Caenorhabditis elegans: one gene and its partner. The protein of the gene in region 1 interacts with the protein of each later gene in a pairwise test. Each region holds a gene or a part of one and is shown in the gene's direction. Other genes may lie near its edges.

The links. The genes of interacting proteins can lie anywhere in the genome.
Region 2: the proteins of magi-1 (region 1) and add-1 interact in a two-hybrid assay, tested with the Caenorhabditis elegans proteins (2 studies listed by BioGRID).

What each region holds. Positions count from the first base shown.
Region 1 is NC_003282.8:11,713,450-11,718,072, forward strand, and holds the start of magi-1 (Guanylate kinase), read left to right. Parts: upstream 1-1,589; 5' UTR 1,590-1,640; coding exon 1,641-1,659; intron 1,660-1,706; coding exon 1,707-1,771; intron 1,772-1,947; coding exon 1,948-2,014; intron 2,015-2,534; coding exon 2,535-2,772; intron 2,773-2,817; coding exon 2,818-3,014; intron 3,015-3,075; exon of another isoform or gene 3,076-3,252; intron 3,253-3,410; coding exon 3,411-3,530; intron 3,531-3,769; exon of another isoform or gene 3,770-3,914; intron 3,915-4,623.
Region 2 is NC_003284.9:4,853,995-4,861,582, reverse strand, and holds add-1 (Adducin-related protein 1), read left to right. Parts: upstream 1-1,539; 5' UTR 1,540-1,546; coding exon 1,547-1,645; intron 1,646-1,881; coding exon 1,882-1,974; intron 1,975-2,047; coding exon 2,048-2,156; intron 2,157-2,478; coding exon 2,479-2,621; intron 2,622-2,740; exon of another isoform or gene 2,741-2,890; intron 2,891-3,016; coding exon 3,017-3,160; intron 3,161-3,208; coding exon 3,209-3,376; intron 3,377-3,722; coding exon 3,723-3,782; intron 3,783-3,839; coding exon 3,840-3,938; intron 3,939-4,242; coding exon 4,243-4,327; intron 4,328-4,382; coding exon 4,383-4,468; intron 4,469-4,529; coding exon 4,530-4,802; intron 4,803-5,346; coding exon 5,347-5,559; intron 5,560-5,608; coding exon 5,609-5,867; intron 5,868-6,161; coding exon 6,162-6,263; intron 6,264-6,371; coding exon 6,372-6,431; intron 6,432-6,527; coding exon 6,528-6,617; coding exon of another isoform or gene 6,618-6,691; intron 6,692-6,709; coding exon 6,710-6,753; intron 6,754-7,108; coding exon 7,109-7,180; and 4 more. UniProt on the Caenorhabditis elegans protein: Membrane-cytoskeleton-associated protein that promotes the assembly of the spectrin-actin network. Plays a role in time-dependent memmory loss and the retention of conditioned behavior over time.

The sequences.
Region 1 (4,623 bases):
AAACAGCCGTCCCCTTCTTCTACTTCTTGTCCTTCATTTTTGTTTCTAAAGTCGCTGTCATCACTGTGATTCTGTGGTGACTGCTGCAGCACAACATGCCAGATGCGTGGCAGATGTTGAAAACTTTCGGAAGTTTGTGTAGAAATCGGAGAAGAAGAAGAAGAACTTGACGAATTATATGAGCCTGACCAGCGCTGTCGTCTCGGTGCGTTTACCATTAGTATGTTACAAAATTGACCTGTCTCCCTTTCTTTTTCTATCCGCAGAGGATTTAACGCTTTATGAGAAAACCGTTCACCATATTATCGGCGAGAAGCAAAAGTGCGTGCCGTAACGGCAAAGTGTATGTTTGTTCTCCAAATATCACATTCAGCTTTTTTGCGCCTCGCAAGAAAATGCTCTAGGCTTGCCGACGGTCAACTCGAACCTTCTGGACCAAATTGAAAATTTTCCGACTGTCCTGAAACTATAGCTCCTAATAGTTGTATTTTATTTTTAAATTCAAAAATTTTCCAACATTAAGAAAGAAGGGAATCGAGTTTCCCAGGTGCAATGACTCACGGCTTTTCGAACGAAAGTGGGATTTTTGACGAATTTCAAATTTTCGAAAGTGGCAAGTATTTTCGCTAAAGTAATGTTATTCTTTTCAAAATATTGTCTAAATTTTCTAATTTATTACTAGAAAGTTTTAAAGTGCTACAGTAATCATGACTCTAAAATTATTAAGTTAACATGTATATTTCAATTTTATCTAATTCATTATAAATATGTATTGAAAACTTACTTATATTATTTAGTTGAATTTTTATTAGAAACACCAGTTTTTACTAAAAAATAGAGTTTAAATATTTTTCATGTCTCTTTTAGTAACAAAATTTATTGAGTGATACCCGTAGAAAACAACAGGTGTGACCGCACTAAAATATATACAACACACTACATTTCCCGCAATTCATGTAGGCCAAATGGTGGTGGGTACACTGCACGCGTGTTAGAGTTGCCCCTCGGTTTAGTCGATCGATAAACAGTATTGCATCCCTGCTAGTCTTCCACATACCTCTTTAAGACACTACATGGAACAATTCAATTTTTTTTCGCTTTTTTCATTTTTTTCTTTTATCAATAATATCTTCGAACTTCCAAAACATTACACGATTTGTTTTGTTTCTGTTCAAATTGAGTTCAAAATAGGGCGCGCGAAATTTTTTTAGTCGAAGACTTCATTTTTCGGTTTTTCTTGCTCGTTTTGCGCTATACTTTTCAATACATTTTGCGCAAATATCTTGTTGTCACCTGACAGTGCTAAACTTTCTGAAAAATCTGCGCGCACTTCTTCTTATTTATTCTTCTTCCAATTTCCAATCTCTGACTCATTATTAATTTGTCATTTCGACAGCGCCTTATTCATATTCACACTGCACTCTTTCTCATCTTTTGCTTGTCCCTTGCTCTCCTTCGGGTTCTCTTGAGGTCGCCGACACACAAACGGTTGTTTCGTAATAAATATTTATTTGTTTTCGCAAAATTTATGCGGTCCCCTTTCTCATGGGCCATTCCGAACTTTGAAGATAGTAATTCATTTTCGTTGCAGAGAAGACATTCCAACTCGACATTCTCTTAATGAACCCACGACTAAAAAGATGACCGACAAAACAGCTGGTGAGATTGAGAGTTTAGTCCATAAACATCAAGATTATTAATTTCAGAACTTTGCCTGAAAATTGGAGATGAAGAAAAGGATGATTTCACATTGGAAATTGAAAAGCTTCAGGTTTGTTTTGATTTGTTTCATGTCTAACGGCTCCACCCCAAAATAAAACTCATTTCAAAACCACTTCCCATTGTTTATTCGCAAGAAAAAAGGATTAGTGAAGTAGTGGAAGGCTCTTCCCAACCACTTGTTCGTCGTCCTTCTGAATTCCTCCCCTCACTATCCCAAGTTTTCAGGCCACTCTTCAAGAAATGCTCGATTGCACGAGCAGCCCAAGCACTTCACTAGATTCCACTGACAAACGTGAGTTATTCAATCATTTATGACCTTCAAGAAAGATATTGAGTTTAACGAAGAAGTTTAAAGTTTGAATATTCCATGCATTTCAAAGTTCAGTTTACAGTGAAATATAAAACAGAGCTTTTAGTTATTGTGTGGTTGAAAAGTTTTTAATTCTTTAGTGAGTTTTTTTTTCAAACATAGATAGATATAATACAATATGCTCCCTATTAGTATTACACCTACATTTCTATACTCTGAGATTTCATATTTCGATTATTTCTAAAGATAAAAATGTAACCTAAATTTTACTAGTTGAATACTTTCACTGTCAAAAGAAACACAGTAGGAGCACACGTTAATACCTAATTTTTTAATATTCATCAAGACTGTCTTAAAATTTTTTTTTGTTTGGGTTCCGAATAAAAATTTAACAACTAAAGCAAAAAAAATCATTGTAAGTCAAGAAAGATCATTTTTGAAAAAAAAACCAAAAATCAGGAAATAGCCAAAAAAAGACTGAAAATAATTTTTAATATTCTAGTGCCATCCGGACTTGCTGCTCGTCGACTGATCCGTATTGCCAGTGAACATCATCATATTTCCACGACATCTTCTTGCCATTCGGACTCTGGAAACTCTTCATCTCGAGACGTCATCACCCCGTTTACAGTACATGGCGGAGCCTCAATTGGACGACTCATTCTGATTGATATTGTGCGACGTGATGATTTAATTGGAATTGTTCATCCTAACGATATTCTTTTAACAATTGAGAACATGTAGGTTTTCTAGAACATTTCTTTTTTTATTATTTAAATTTTCAGAAAAGTATCAGGAATGGTAAGATCTGAAGTGAATAGGATATTGGAAGATATGATGAGAGAACATGATCAAATTGCGATTGAAATTCTACCAGCTGGAGCAATTACCGATGATATTTGTGAACTACTGGCCGATAGAAAATCATCTGGTGAACTTCAGACTATCATTCGAGAAAATTTATATCAGAAGACAGTTCCTTGTGAGTTACAAAAAAAGTTGATCTGAAACTAACTAGATTGGATTTAATACTTATAAGTTTCATTCCTCAAAACCTCATTGTTTTCAATGGCACTAGCAGCTGCCCACAGGGAGTATCATTGAGATGAAATAGTGTGTGATCTAGAGAAACCTAGACATCCGCCCCATTAAATTAGGTGATTTAGGATCTAGGGGATCATCACAAGGTGGGGGAGGGTCCGAAGCTGGCCACCAGTGGAAGTGTTAAAATGTTCGGTTCGCCTTTACCAAAACATTCACTAAAACCTGCATTTCTTTCCAAACGAACATCTCTTCCTGTTATTGATCTAAAAGATTATTATGGAGGGACAAGTATTGAAGTTAAAACAAATTTCAATTTCAAAGTGACCATTTTCAGACACAACTCGACCTCCACGAGAAGGTGAAGTTGATGGAGAACACTATCGATTTGTGTCTGTAGATGATTTTAATAAGCTTCTCGACAGTGGTGACTTGCTCGAAAATGGTACATATCAAGGTAACCTCTTTTCTCCATGTTCAACTATTTTACGCTTATTATCATAAAAGAAAACCGCTGCTTCACGGTTTTACTTGCTCGCGAATCTCCGTAAAATCCAGCCACCTGGTAGCCTTTTTCGGCACCTGTCTTAAGAATTTCTTATTTCTTATTTCCACCGCTTCAATAGCTCCATCTGTCTTTGTCTGCGATCTCTTATATCCCCTATTACCTTCTCATCACACTCACTTACCTGTTTTCTACCTCACAGTCCTCGTCTACCCTCTTACGCAATCTTGGTATGTCCTCAAATGGAGGACTGTACCCTCTACGTCTCCTGCTTCATAACACTATTTCGTGACAAAACACAGTCCCATTCCGCTCATTTTGCATCTTTCTCCTTCCGTTGTCCCTCTCTCTTTCTCTCTTACCTGACACAATGGTTCATTCACCTCTCTCACCAAAATTGGAGTGGATTACATTCTTTGCATGTGTAAAAAGTGCACCCTAAAATTTGAAAATTCTTTCTCAACGGATCTGCCTTCCCAGATCATTTTTCATCCATATGTCCGCCTTGAGAAAATGCATATATCATGCTCACTTGTCATCGGAGCCCACCAATATCCATGTGACAAGTAGCAGTAAACTTGACTATTGTTTTTGGCTCCTCTTCATTCCATTTCGGAAAGAGAAGACTTGGTGATGCCCCCACAGATTCGATTCAATTTCGTTAATTCAATCTCATAGTGGCTTCTTCCATTCTTTTCTGTTTCGTTTCTATTCTTCTTCTTACTTTTTCGCATCCTTCTTATTCTCGCCCTACACTTTCTCTGCTTAATCCCTGTTTGAACTAAATTCTCGGAGAAGACAAGGAGTTAGCAGCAAAAGTTGAATCCTGAAGTTTTTTTTTCGTTTTTTTTCTTTACTGGTGTCGTTGCCTGCCTATTTGCGTCCTTGTCAAAACAATGCCATTTTTCGGTCAAGTACCCTGAACCAGTACTAGTTTTGACAGTAAGTCCGAAAATGGAAGTTGAAAGGGCATAATGATGATGAGGATTGTTATTGAAATAGAGATGCAAAACTGGCGTTTTGACATTCAGGTCTAAATTCTTTT
Region 2 (7,588 bases), on another chromosome or scaffold:
AGTTTGTTTTACTATCGTCACCATAGGTGTGTGTGCGTGTGTGTTTGATATAAGATTTAATCGCAATTCGGCATGTTTCTTCTATTGTTGCCGCATTGGTTAAACACCAGTTTGGGGTTTTTTTGGAAGAGTATTTCAAGTTTCTGAAAGTTAAAGCATTTCAAATTTCAGACTAAGAATTTTACAGTAAGTGGTATTATAAATAATTGCATTGACCGCAAATTATTGAAAAAGCTTAGAATTTTTAAATAGAAATATTGTTTCAGCATTTCGTAGTAGTGCTGCAATATTATCTTATCGGAATAATTAATCTGAAAAGTTCAAACCGATTTTTAAATTTTGACAAATTTATTTTGAGTTATAAAACTCTGTTTGCGGAAAAATGGTTACTTTCCCAAAAAGTAATGAAATCTCACAAAACTAATTGGCCTAGCTCAATTCGAAAATTTCCACTTCCATTTTGCTTCACCGTTCTTTTTCATTTGAGCCACCCTACTTGTGCACCACTCGGACAAGTGCATTCTATTTATTCCATTTTCTTTTCATTGTGATTAACCATCCTGAATAAAATGTCTTGGGTTTTCTGCTCGGCGCCTCTTTCTATCTTTCTCCAAAATAGAGTACATGTAGACTTGAGTTTCTTTTCGGTCTTCCTTTTCTTCCCTCATTCCTTAAATTAGATTTGACATAAGAAGAACTTTATCGCAACAGGCGGATACCTTAAGGTTCTCATTCTTGTTTGCCGTTTATCGCTTCCATCGCAGACAAAAGTAGTGTGTTGGAGAATTTGACTGACGCAAAAACCACAAACATTTTAGGGTCAAATTCACATTTCCAATTAATATTTTTCAATATTACCGTTTGCCATGCTTCATAGGTAATTAGATGTATACACTTTCTCATGGCAAGTGTGCCACCCGTAGAGCAAATGTTATATAACGCAGGAGGTATGCAATAACCAAATTTTGTATACAAATCAGATGGCTCGCCATCGAATAGTCTCACGCTGAATGAACTATTTTTCGATCAATTCATGCTTTTTAGTACAGCTTTGTGTAAGCTGTGTGCTAGTAGAAATGTCAAATTATTTTCATGAAATTGTATACATCCGATTTAGCATATCTTAAAAAATCCTTATTTGTAAATACAGTTTCCGATAACTTGTGAACCCTTTTTTACTTAATTTGATATTTCAATCTTTAGTAAGTTCAACTGTTAACACCTTTATAACAGTTTTTCATCTTGAAAAAATGTCTAAAAATTTGACAAACAGAAATTTAACGTTAAAAGACCAATAATGAAACAGGAAAACAAGACAATATCAAAAGTAGGCCATCCATTTGCGCGGGAATTTAAACATAATTCAGAAAATCATCGCACATTTAGAATAATTTTATTATTTTTATTTTTAAATTCATATTTGTACACTACATCCCATTTTCATATTTGCAAAGTAATGTTTACTTTTCTAAACTTTGTGATTTTTTCTTGAATTTCAATATTTCAATCTCATTTTCAATTTTCTTAAACTTCAATAAAGTTTCAGATGATTGGAAGAAAAGAGAAGGAACGGGAACGTCCATACTATCGAGACCCAGATGACCCTGAATATATCAAAGATTTGCAAAGACCGGCAGTAATCAAAGTAAGTGCTGCTCCAAGTTTTTCCGTAAAAAAAACTAGAGCACATCAAGTTTTCCCTCCTCAGCTCTCTTTTTTCTCTTTTTCCAAGAACTTCAATTAATGAAACCTGCCATTATTAGCGCAGTGTCATTTTTTGAAAAGACTTGGGAAATTGAATGGAAAATGCAAGAGAAGAAGAGAAAGGAGTGCTCGCTCTTTAATCAGCTTAAAAGATGGATGAGAAATGCTCTATTTTAGGAGGATTTGTCAGAGATGGAGAGACGGAAAAGAGTGCAACAGATACTTGAATCAAAATCATTCTGCCACGAGCTAGAAGAAGTTATTCGTCAGGTTTGTAATTTGTCTTTTTTCTCGTTATTTTGTTTCAATAAATGTAATTTTGTACAAAACATTTTACATCTAGGAGTGTGATACAGCACGTACGGATCCGGATCACTTGCAAGTACTCCAGAAACTTTCGGACCTCACAGTTCCACAAGGAAACATGTCGTTTGGCAACCTTCACACATATGGTTTGTATTATATTTTGGAATAATGTATTCGAAAAACGGATAACTTGGTTTTTTTTCCTTATTTTGACAAAAGAAACTCGATTTATGCTTATTCACACGAGGAGTTACAACATGTTATAATGCAGAAAACTTTCCTATACGAATTTTAGCTATGCTGAAACCTTGTGACACAAAAGTAGATATACTTTTTTTGTTTTTCTAGTAAAGTATTATAATATCAAAAATCTAAGATTCCCATGCATAAACAAAATTGCAATATTTTTACAAACTTGAACTTCTGTAAGTTGACAATTTCCGATAAATCATGTAATCTATGTTTCAGGTGGAAACACCATTGCAATTGCTGATCTTCGTGGAAACGAGAAGTATTCAAAAGCGGAACGTATCCAGAGAAACAAATTGGCATGCTTGTTTCGACTAGCTGACCTGTTCCAGTGGTCACAAGGGATTCATAACGAAATCTCGGTAGGGTGCTTGAAGTATTGACTTTTTAAAATTACCACAAAAATTTAAAACTTGAACCTGTGGTTTAAAGTAAAATTTTGCAATCAACCAAATTTATTTTACAATATAGCAAATACAACGCGTGTAGAAATTGTATGAATTTCAACTTTATTAAAATACGAAACTTCTGAAACAGCTGCCAAAATGTAAGGATTAATCAGCTTTAAATTGGGATTTTTTTTGTTCAGTGTTGTGTTCCGGTTACACACCACTTTATTTTCCGACGTGAGTTAACTAGCAGGTCCATTAACGACGTGTTTAAAAAAATGTATTAAAATTATATTTCTATGAAACTTCTACAAAAGTAAAAACACCATATTTACCTTTCTAGAAGAATTTTAACAAAATTGATTTAGTATCGAACCAACGATGAGGATAACACTTTTCTGATGAATCCATTTGGTCTTCTCTACCATGAAATCACTGCTGCGACCATCGTGAAGATAGATGAAAATGGAAAAATTCTGGATTGCGGGACACTGAAAGCTGGAGTCAACCAGGTACCTTTAAAATCAAAAACGACTTATTTTTGCACTCATCAAGTTAAGCCTGCGTTTCTTCTTCATTCTGCAATTTACAAAGCTCACCCAATGGTCAGATGCATTCTTCATATGCACACGGCAATTGTGGCGGCTGTGGCTAGTATGAAATGTGGTTTATTGCCTCTATGTAAGGAAGCAATGGTGCTTGGGCCAGTTGGATATCACGATTATCAGGTTAGCAAAAATATTGAATTTGAAGAAAAACAATCACTTGTGTGGTTATTTTCATAATCTGAAAAATTTAAGTGTGAACGAGAGAAAATTGAAAATCTGAAGGTTAAAGAAACTAGAAGCAAAATCGGCAACCGTTTTTTAAAATTATTTTTTGATGATTTTTTTCCAGTCAAAGTTTTGGTACTTTGCCAAAATTTGAAAAAGTTTATCATGTAAATCGGTAGTTTTAGTACTTAAAGTAGATATAGAAAAGTTCATCGTCGACCTTCGAACGGTTTAAATTTTCATTAACCTTTCACATGACTTTAACTATAAAATCAAAAAAATTGTTGAATTTTCTTTTCAGGACATTGGTGATGATGATATTCAATTTGACGAAATTATTGCAAATCTTGGAGACAAAAACGTGCGTTAGCTTTACTTTGAACTGCTTTTCTATCCGCTTTTCTATGCTTCGTTTCAGGTCCTTTTCCTCCGCAATCAAGGATTCCTTGTTGTCGGTGACACTATCGAGCATGCCACTTTTCTAGCCAACAACACTGTGATAGCATGCGAAACTCAGGTTTTTGAAGTTTCTCATATTTAAAAATTACACGCTGCCCTGCCGCCAGTAGTTCAATTCTATCGCCAAATGCTTATTTTTTATGAAATGACGATGGGATTAAAACATTTAAGGTTCTGCTGATCAGAGGAGAAGGATGTTTTGTTGTTGGAAATTCCGTTGAAGAGACATCTATAATTATGCGCAACTTAGTCACTGCTTGTGACCATCAGGTTTAGAAAAGTTATAATAAATGAGAAATATTATTTCATATCAAATACAAAATACATAATCAAAGTTTCCAAAAACAAAATATTTTTGTAAGGTACGTGCCGCAAGGGCTGGACTTGACAACCTCATCATTCCGGAAGAGAAAGCAATACAAAGAGCGTTCAGAAATTCTCGAAATAGTAAGATTCTGCAATATATATTGAAATTTAAAATACATCTATAATGCTTTTGTAGCGAATTCCCTGAAACGAAATGGAACAGTTGATTGGAGAGTCGGAGAATTAGAATGGGAGTCTTGGATGAGAGTGTTGGATCATGCGGTGAGCAGAATTTTTTCGCCCTGCTCACAGTTGTTTCACTAAAAATTGCTACTAATTATAGAATTTTCAAACCGGGCACGTCTATCGTCAACCACAACTGCGGCCCAAATCTGCAATGTCTACGTCAATGGTGAACAACAATGATGTTGCTGTTCCGCCAACTACATCAGCTTATGGACAAATTGATGAAACAAACTTGGAAAGTGTATCTGCACATCGTCTGGCTTTACTGCGCAAGGAGCAGGAGCGGGTTCGTTGGATGAACAGTCCAAATGCATATCAGAAGGTTGAATTTTTGGAGTATGGAGCAGATAACCCAAAGAAGATAACTAAAGTAAGAACTGTTTTCAACTTTTGCAGTACGAAAATAAAATTTGTACATGAACTTCTGATGGTTTGTGTCATTATGTTTACACAGTTATTTTCATATAAATGTACAAAAAAATTTGAAGAAACATTAAATTAAAAACTATAAACAGAGATTTGAAAACCCAAATAGCTATGATATGGGTGGGCCCTACTAGTGAATTTTTGTTTTGGATAATTTCTATGTCACTAATTTTTGGATTGTTGTCATTATGCACATTATGAATACATGTTATGCTAACGCAATAAAAAAATGTATTTTTCAATATTGGAGTAGTGTCAGAAAATGTTCAAAATTGCTCCAATACCAACTATCGATTCAGGCTGTGCCTAATTGTGTTTTGAAAATTTTGATCCGCAATAAAAATATGTATTAAAGTTTTTTGAGAAGTCTCATTATAAAATTCGGTCGCATTTGGTTATTGAGTTCAAATTAAACATCTATGATAAATCATTGGAGAAAAAATTAATTTTAAAGTGTTTTAAATTTACACAAGTTCAAATCATTTCAGTGGGTTCATGACGTCAACGTTCCATCCGCGAGTGGAACCCCTGTCAAAATCAGCAGTGTTCATCAATTCAGTCCTGCGTCTTCAAATCCTAAAGAATTTAAAGAAAAACAAAAAGCTATCAAAGAAAACAACAGACTGGGAACTCTTTCTGCTGGACCACAAAGCCAGATTTTGGACAGTGTGACATATGAAGACATTGCACTATTGATTAAAGTGAAATATCCCGTCTTGAAAATTCATTTATTATTTTGTAATCTTTCAGCCTGATAATGACGGAACAGTCGGACAGAGCTCGACCGCTGACCGAGCAATACTTATCGGAACTGCCAGCAAGGGAATCATTGATAGGCAATTTCAGCATCATGCTCAGGTGTACCACCAAATCTATGCGCCGAATCCATTCTCTGTAGAAACTGATGCAGACATCAAGAAATATGTAGACATGGTGAAGGCCAAGAACTCGCAAAGCGCTCCTGTCTCAGCGAGAAGTGGTTACTCTCAATACGATGAGGTTGAAGCTGGTAAGGTAGCTGAAACAAAAAAACAGCAATTTTTAAAGTCGTTTTTGAAAACGAAAACTGAAATTCCTTTATTTAAAACGTAATAAAATAAAATAAACACTGCAAAAAATCCATGTTGTGTTGCGAGTTTTTAACTGAAAATCTGGGGTTCAAAACACTTGTGGGATGCCACTTGTTTTGAGTATGTTCTTTTTGGCTCCACTTACAAAATATATTTTTGAAAATATATTGCTGACAAAGGTCTAAAAATAGCTTCTCTAGTTGTAACCAGCCGATTTTCAAAAATTATTCCAGATACAGTTTCCTTAATGCAAGGAGTACGAGAACATAAACTTTCTCAAGCGGCTCTGAGCGCATCTGACGACGGCCTGAATGCCGGAATCTCCCCGAATAATGGTAATTTTTATGTGGTTGCTCCTTCACATTTTATCGATGCGCCTGTTTTCTATCGCTTTGTTTTCCAGTGTTTTAAATTATTTGAATGCCTATTTTCCATATTTCCAGTCCGAACTTCCGAAGAAAGCGTCAATACGTCGTACATGAGCCAGTCAGTTGTGTTCGATTGTAGGTTTATTTTCCTTATTCTTTCTGTGTAGCATGTGTGTGGTGGCTTCAAAGCTTTTTATAACTTTCACAGATTTTCTAACTCTTTGTGTACAGGCGATCACCCTTCTCCGATGTCAATTTCGACAGAGTACCCTGAAAAAGTTAAAATGACGCGATTTTCGTCGACTCAAGGAACAAGTGAAGGTATATTTGTAACTACGTGGTGTCTATTTGTGTTTTCACTTTTTTTTCGAGCGCATCAGCTAACTAATCAATAACTGAGTTGTAACATTTAGGCAATACAACGTCTCGATCGTGCACTACAGCGTCTGAAGAAGAAGTAAGAATTTTTGGAAGCAAATAGTTTTTCAAATGTTTCAAACTTAAAAAAGAATGAGGTTTCTTGCCATAAATAACAGAAAAACTATAAAGTAATATATTAAATTTTTAATAATGTTTTTTTTCAAATTAGAAGTTTTTTTTTGATATTTTAACAATTTCTGAAAAATTTTAAAAAAATTCAATGAAAAAATTAAACTTTTTACAGTTGTATTCTCTATATATAAACTGTTTTCTGTTATTTTGGGCAAAACCCCACTGACTCTACTCTACCTTCAAATAAGATTGAAATATTTGCTAACTTCTCTGCTTTTGGGACTAATCAAGCACTTATTTTACACCGTTTTTTATTTCAGAAGCCTACAAAAGATGAGAAAAAGAAGAAAAAGAAAGGATTTTTGTCATTTATGCGAAAAAAGGACAAATGAAAAATGAGAGTTTTGCTCTCACCTTGCTCTCACCAACACGTTCACATCACTTAACTCTAACACTTTTCGATAACTTTTTCTATGTTTTCTTTTCAATTTTCAGATCCGGATATACTACGCCCAATTTACCGTCAAGAAACATATGTCTAGTCTCTGGACTTTTCTTTCTTTCCCGTGAACTTTCAATTCCGGTTATGGATAATAGCAACACTCTGTGCTTTGTCTTTTGTTTTTCGAATATTTTTAAAATGTCATTTTGTACGCATATTTTTTTTATATTATGTATTTGCATTTCCATCAAGTTTTTTATACTTTCATCTATAAATAATTATATTATATTACAAAAAAAAGCCAGGACAGAGAAGAATTCGGCAAAGTGACTACGAAAATAGCTTTTCTCAACGAATT